2 linked regions of the Arabidopsis thaliana genome follow. The protein of the gene in region 1 interacts with the protein of each later gene in a pairwise test. Each region holds a gene or a part of one and is shown on either strand. Other genes may lie near its edges.

Region 1 (4,116 bases):
GTAATATATACTGAAAATATAGCACTCAAATGATTAAAGCTTGGGTTAGTTCATCAAATAGTCTTAGGATTTAGCTATTATAATTGTGATATCTTTAGATGGCTGCTGGAAAATAAATCTTGAATACCTAATTTTTTCTGGTTAGCAAAGTGTTATACTTTCTTATTCTCTTGGGGCTATCTACTCTAATCACTTTTAAATGAGAGCTCTGCACACTTTAGTGTAAGCAATAATTGATTTATGAAGAGCGGCGAGGGGTGCAAATCACTGCTATCAATTAACGTATTTTTTTGTTGGCAAACTAGAAATTTTTTGAAAGTTAAGTCACCATCCCATTCTCACAAATTGTCTTTTACTGCTAAATACTTGGAACCATCACCATCCCTTTTCACATATGAGACTGTTCACGAGTACATGCATTGAGAAATTTCACCATGAATACACTCACTCACAAACGTAGGGCTTCACATATTGTAATCTTTGATGTAACAGAGGCTTTGATGCATTTGATTTGAGAATGCGTCTTCCTGACGTGGTTAGTACACTGTCCAAAGCTGCTAAGCAAAATGGAGAAGTTACATTCGTGCACACTGCACTGCACTACTGGAATGGGAAAGGGTTGTTTTTTGGTATATGGGCATGAAAGCTTATTGATTGTAACTCTGACACTGAAAGTAAAGTGTTAACATTGGATGGTAACAGGTGAATATTAGATAAAATGTTTGATGTCTTGCTACTAAACACATAACAACTGTAAAACCAAAGGCCCTTAGCCCATTATTATAATTTCTATTCAGCCCATCAAATAAAAGAGTTCTCGGAGAGTGTTTGTTGATCAATAGCCTTTTATTTTAGGTTGAAAAAAGTTTACACTAAATTAAAAGATATTCTGCACATGACTCGTGCTACAAAAGATGTACACGTGGAATAGATGTTACTTCCATAATATTCCGAAAAAAAGAAGAATTGAGTATCCATAGGTTATCAAATGAAGAAATTAAGAAGATACATAATCATTTGGATCAATATTGTCTTTAATCTTTTCTTCTAACTCAAACAACGACGATAAACAACAAACGTCTCTACCCTTCTCGCCTATCGAAGTCTCCGGCAAGAATCGTACGGACGTCGACGAATTCTCATCGGAGGACGAGTACAACGAGACCGGCCACGAAGATGAAAGAGAATCCTCCACGACGACGTCGGAATTAGGTTCTCCAGCAACATCTTTAGAAGGCCCTACTGCTAAGTTTAAGACCAAATCGACAAAGGCGGCGAAGATGTATCTATGGCTTGCCTTGACGTTGACTTTCAAGAACCAAAAGAGAAGTTTCTCCAGGCTTATCCAGTCATGATGAAGCACGTGTACTTCAACCATCTTTTCCATTGAGTTCTTGAAATCAGTGTAAGGATCGTTTGACTCCAAGGACAAGAGCATTAAACCGTCCTCTTCTTCTTCATGATCGTCTCTCTTGGTAGCTTCTTCGAGTATAGAGTTCGATGTTCCTCTCCGTTCAAAGATGAGTCTCTTCGATGATTTTAGTCCTTTAATCACATTCTCTATAGACTCTATCTCTGGTGGATTTTCTATAGCATGGCTTGTAGAGGAGAAGGAAGAGTAGGAGGAGGAGGAGGGGGAGGAGGAGAAGCTTCTCGGTGGTGGCTCGGGTTCGTAGACATCTTTAGGTTTGTTAACGATGAAGGAAGCTTTGGAAGATATTGTTTTAAGGTTTTGTTGATGAGAGGAAGGCCATGGCCACGAAGAGGAAGAAGATGATGAATTTGAAGAAAATGATGAAGATGATGTGTTCTTGTTTAGAAATGGGAGTTTCATTTTCCTTACCATTTTCCTTTTTGATTGCTGAAAAAATAAGACAAGACAAGAATGTAAATTTCTCTTTTCTTTTGGGGTTGGATTCAAAATTATAGGAGATTTATGGAATTAATGGTGAGAGAGGGAAGGAAGATTTTAAGGCTTTTGAAAAGGAGAGGAGAGGAGAGGCTGCACGAAAGGATGGGTGGGGAAAAGAAAAGAAACTTTATTTTATTTATTTTGATTTTTGAATTAAAACTTTTTTTGGTTAGTGTATTTAATTATTGGCACCAAATTTATTGTTGTTTGGTTGGGGATCATTCAATTTTTGTAAGTACAATTTTGATATTTGAATATCCAAAATCTATATATATTTGAAATCTTAAAATATTACATTAAATTTATTTATTGTTAATACATGGATGAGTCCTTAAAGTATATAAAATCACTTCAAAACTTAACTATTTTTTTCATGCATTTGATAGTTTTCCGTTAGTAGTACACAAATTCGTCACTGTTTGCAAATCAAATACACGATCGTATACATGCATATTATGGTAAATTTAAGTAACTTTATCTGAAATTGATAAAACTGTAATATGAAATTTAAAATGTTTCCTTGTTTGATAATATCAGAAAAAACAAAAATCAACTTTAGAAAATGGATGGAAATAATTTCGTATATCTGAATATGGAACGTAACTGAACTAGTGTCTGCCAAAGTTAATCAACATCAATGTTTGATTAATGTTCCTATTAAAGATTGACAGGCAACTGTTAATATAGATAGATACAACAACATGACATAAACGATCTTCAAAATAAATGAATTCAGCAATATCTTTTTTTTTTTGGAAAATAATGAATTCAACAATATCGCCAAAGTAGTTAATTGAAACTTGATACCTATACCTACCGAAAATAGCTATCATGATCATAATATTATAATTTATCCCTAATACTACCACTAAGCCATCATCCAAATTCCAAACCTTTGATTGGTAGTCTTTTTATTAAATTATATAAAAGATAGACCTTTTAATAAATGTTCAGTGTTAGTGTAACGTAATGTTTTAGACCTAAATATAGTACGAAGATCTAATTATTGTAAATTGAAATGAGAACAACGAATTTAAAACATATATTAATATATAGGTATGTACGTGTACGTATCCTACACTTTAAAATATAACACGAACTAATTAATATAAAGAGAATAATAAACTCAACGAACAGTCGAAGGAACCAACTAACTATCAAAAGATATGACGTCGATGCTAAACAGTTTTATAATTTCCGTGGTAGTCGCTTCAGCTGAAACATTTCCCGAATTCTTATAATAATTCTTTCTCATCTCTTTACCAAATCTGATACTGCTTTAATGTCTAGGACCTTCAAAGTTAAAGCATCGTGGCCATCGACTTGGCCGGTACGGCTTGAATACGAATATATCTAAAAGAAATTTGGATTGATCTACATCAAAAAGAAATTAGGATTCATCTACATCAACAAAAAAAATTAGGTTACAAATTTTGATCTGAGCCCAACCCAAATAGTTTAACGTTGGTATTTATTTTCGAGATTTGAAGTGTGTGAAAAATGAATAACGGAAAGAAAAAAATGGGGAAACTAGAGATTTGAACAAATGACCATTTAGGTCCAAAATTGATCAAAACTAGTTGACTATAACCTGTTATAATTAATTATCACTTATCTGATTAAAAATAAGTGAAAATACAACTGCAATAAAATGCGAGAGAGGAATCCAACAACAAAAATAAGAGAGAGACAAAAGTCTAAATGCTTACATATCTATCTTCACGTATTTCCTCATGGACAAATCTGTGTCAGACTTGTGTCACCCACAAACCTAATGTTAATTTTTTAATATACTTTCACTTTTATTCACTGTTTTAGCAGTTACATGCATATAACTACTAAATTTCAGCAGAAGAGTCATATGCTGATAGTGATAGAAACAGTCAACAGTTTCAGCTATACCGATCATGTTGCAGTTTTCGTCAAAAAAAGATTTTTATCAAGATTTGTGTCCAGTAGTGATCCAGTCATGTGTATCGAAAGACAATGGGATTAATGACCAAGTCGTACAATCTATTGGTTTGTATTTGTATCACATAGCAGTTAGACGATGAAATTTATTTGCAAATAACTATTTTCGTTAAATCAGGACTCTCGCTAGAGTCTAGACTGTGTACGTGTGTAAGTGTGTAACCATCCTTTGTTTTTGGTCTTTGTCGACGCCATACTTGCATATGATCCACCCACGAAAATACGTAACCTAT
Region 2 (3,537 bases), on another chromosome or scaffold:
AATGTCATAACGGTTTCAGAAAAGACAGAAGAAATTGAAGATTGTTATGAGAATAATGCAAGGCATAGACTGAATTACGAAAATGTTATAGCAGCTTGGGATAAACAAGAATCTCCTAGAGATGTAAAAAACAACACAAGTAGCTTCCAGCTAGTTCCTCCAGTAAGCGCCTAATCTTCCGAGTTCTTACAAAAATGATATTATATTGTTTCAAATTGAGAAAATTGAACCCAATCTATCAAAGAAACTTATTGTAATGGTTGTTGATTGCAGGGGATAGAGGAGAAGAGAGTAAGAAGTGAGAGAGAAGCTAGAGTTTGGAGATACAGAGATAAAAGGAAGAATCGTTTGTTCGAGAAGAAGATAAGGTACGAGGTTAGAAAGGTTAACGCCGACAAAAGGCCGAGAATGAAAGGTCGATTTGTCCGACGATCTTTAGCCATCGACTCTTAGGGAACAGATTCTCTCAGTTTCTTCTCCTTTGTGCCAAATAAAAAAAAGGCTACTCCAAAGAAACCAGAAGCTAATCAAAAGAACAAAAAAGCTCATGTGGAACATATTTCGTAGCTTTTGAATTTATCCCTACAATGACATGGTTACAACTTTATTCTTAAATCAATTTGAGAATTTAAATTTCATACTAGTAAAAGCTTCTCTTATGAGGTAAATCTCTTTATATAAGCAGTTAGTTACAAAAACCAAAACGAATTACAAACAACTTGTAACTCAAAGATTTGTAGTTTTGTACTAATACCGTTGGCCGTGTCAAGAAAGTATTCATAAAAACTTATCGATCCAATCAGTAGTACCATTAAACCAACTAAAATCATCATCCTCTGGATCTCCTAATAATCCAAGATCATCCATAGGAAAATCTTCTAACTTAAAATCATCTATCAACGGATCAAAATCAAGTAAATCATCGACGAATAAGTCCCCATTGGTCGATACGATTTTGGCATGTTGATTAACTTTAGTGTGATCCCCAATCTTAAATCCAAATGTTTTCTCCTTTCCTACTCTATCATTCTCCACAAAATCAAACTTGAAATCATCTACAATGGAAATAAATTCCACTGAATTGTAATCCACCCAAATATCATTTGCTTCAACAGCCGAATCACCAAAAATATCAGCAATTGACGATGTCATCAACGGATCTTCCAACATTTTACTAATCACTCCCTCTTCTTCATGATCAGCGTTATAACCACAACCAAATGGCTTCTGATCAGTAACAATTCTCTTATTTACCTTTTTGCAATTCGACTTCTCAGTAACTTCCTTCTCTTCTGGTTTACGTACACCGCACGGCTTGGTCAAATCTACTAGGTCTTTTTCCTGTTTAACTAAACCCAATCGTTCATCAAACTCTCTTTTACTCTTTTGGTAAGCTTCTGCTGCTTCTTCTTCAGTAGGAAACGTTCCAAGCCACTTTCTCTTCTTCTCAAACGGATTTCTTATCTCCGCCGCAAATTTCCCCCACGGCCTCCGTCGTACGCCTTTGAAACCCGACGACGTTTTCCGGTTTCCGGCTGCTTTATTCCCTGTAGAATTCGAAACGTTCTCATACCTTTTGATCAGCGTCGGGACACAGATCTTTGAGACGTAACGTTTCGGTGGTTTTGGTTTGATCTGACGGCGAGGATTATTGCCGGAGATAGATTCATCGTCGCTAGAGGAATCGGTGGCGTCTGGATCATTACAGATTACACTAATTGTTTTAATCAAGTTGAGATCGATGTTCTCTTCTCTGAAACTGATCATTGTTCTCTCTCCGACTAAACTCCGGTACTAAGTAACAGAATCTTACAATAAAAACCAAAAAAAAAACAATGTAGTGTTTTGAGTTGGTGATAGAGATAGAGATTAAAAACCTAAACATGGGAGAAAAACTTGAACAGAAAACATAGTTAAGATTCATCATCGTACCTTGTTATGGAGAGTGTGTCAAAAATAAAATTCAAGGAGCTTATGGCAAAGCTAAGGAAGACGAAACATAGAAGACGTTATTAATAGTTTATGAGAATTGTTTTGTTTTCCTTTTTAATTTTTGTTTAGATATAATCATAAAAGTAAAATCTGTAGTAAATATTAACGAGGATATCGGTAACTACCATATCTAAATTTACCATTTTTTTTTTTTTGTGATAGAAAAAGAAAGTTAATATTTTAGTAGGAAAAAATGGAAAATTGGGAATTCTCTGATGATATATTATAGTTCTTTTTTTCTTTGGTCCTAAAACTTCAATTGATATCACACTCTAATTTTTATTTTTTTGTATTTCTCGGAGAATAATTTGTAGACTACACATTAATGATTAAATAAAAAGTTTTTTATTTTCGATGGAGAAATCAACCATCTAAGTACGGAGAACACGTAAAATTGGGACTATCCAGAATCTCATAGGTTAATCTCAACCCTCAACTTATGATTTTGAGAAAATAACACACTTTTTTTTTTTTAACGGCAAATCGATTTTATTATATAGTTAAAGTTTACATGATACATAAGAAACATTCAAAAGCAACCTGAGAAAATAATACACTTATTCTATCAAAACTAGTAGTGATTTTTTTTTTTGTTATATTAACGAGTTTAATTTTCAAATCATTAGATTATTTTTTAAGTCACTACATCATAGTATATATATTTATCATCTTATATGTATAAAATGAAATTTCAAAACTTGATAAACATGATCCGATTAAGTTGAGACCTTCCAGTTTGAGTGTGTCGATAAACATAAAATTTTTGTTTTAAACAGTAGATTAAACTTTTAAAAAGACCGTACAACAAAAAGAAAAAACAAAACGCAAAAACGTTACAAAAAGAAAGACTAAAGAAACAAAACAAAATAAAAAGCATAATGAGTAGTATTAATGAGTTATACATTTTCCCATTAACATTTTCACATTTCCCCATTAACGAGTTAATGAGTCAAATCTACTTCTTACGAGTAAGACGTCTCTTCTTCTTAGATGATGTTTCTCCACCATGACCAAGAACAGATCCAATATCTTTCCTCTTATTATCAACAAGACAATTTCCATCCATAGACGAAACCGGAACTTCAAACCTTTCCATTTCCTTGAGAACAGCCCGAAGATTATCGGCTTCGCGTAAAGCAAAACTCACCGTCTTGCGTTCAATCAGTCCTTCAACATACTTGTACAAACCGCATTTCACTCCCTCTTTCCTACAAAAATCAAGAACTGCCTCTTCGTGCAAAACATTGATGGCTACACCGAATGCAGAAACTGGCCAGTACTTGTCTCGGAGACGAACACCAGTATCACTTTCTTTCTTCATGACCGCACGAGCTATCTTTAGTTCAGAGCTATACTCAGCAAATTGAGCGTTAAACGCTCTTATCATAGCCGATTCAGCAGCCGTCCTACCTTTTGATGTCGCTCGCCTCTTTAGCTTCTCGCTGCGTTGCACTTCCACAACGGCTTCAATACCGGCTTTTGTTTTCATCCATTAAACTTCGTAGATTTGACGGAGATTCATCTCGTGGCTTAGAGGACAAATCC

What was found.
Region 2: the proteins of OFP18 (region 1) and CRF9 interact in a two-hybrid assay, tested with the Arabidopsis thaliana proteins (one large-scale study listed by BioGRID).

Annotation. Positions count from the first base shown.
Region 1 is NC_003074.8:19,487,719-19,491,834, forward strand, and holds OFP18 (ovate family protein 18), read right to left. Parts: upstream 2,133-4,116; 5' UTR 1,847-2,132; coding exon 998-1,846; 3' UTR 828-997; downstream 1-827. UniProt on the Arabidopsis thaliana protein: Transcriptional repressor that regulates multiple aspects of plant growth and development through the regulation of BEL1-LIKE (BLH) and KNOX TALE (KNAT) homeodomain transcription factors.
Region 2 is NC_003070.9:18,171,657-18,175,193, reverse strand, and holds CRF9 (Integrase-type DNA-binding superfamily protein), read right to left. Parts: upstream 1,768-3,537; coding exon 778-1,767; downstream 1-777. Other genes in the region: BBX17 (B-box type zinc finger protein with CCT domain-containing protein), read left to right, coding at 1-162, 274-453; AT1G49110 (uncharacterized protein), read right to left, coding at 2,948-3,481.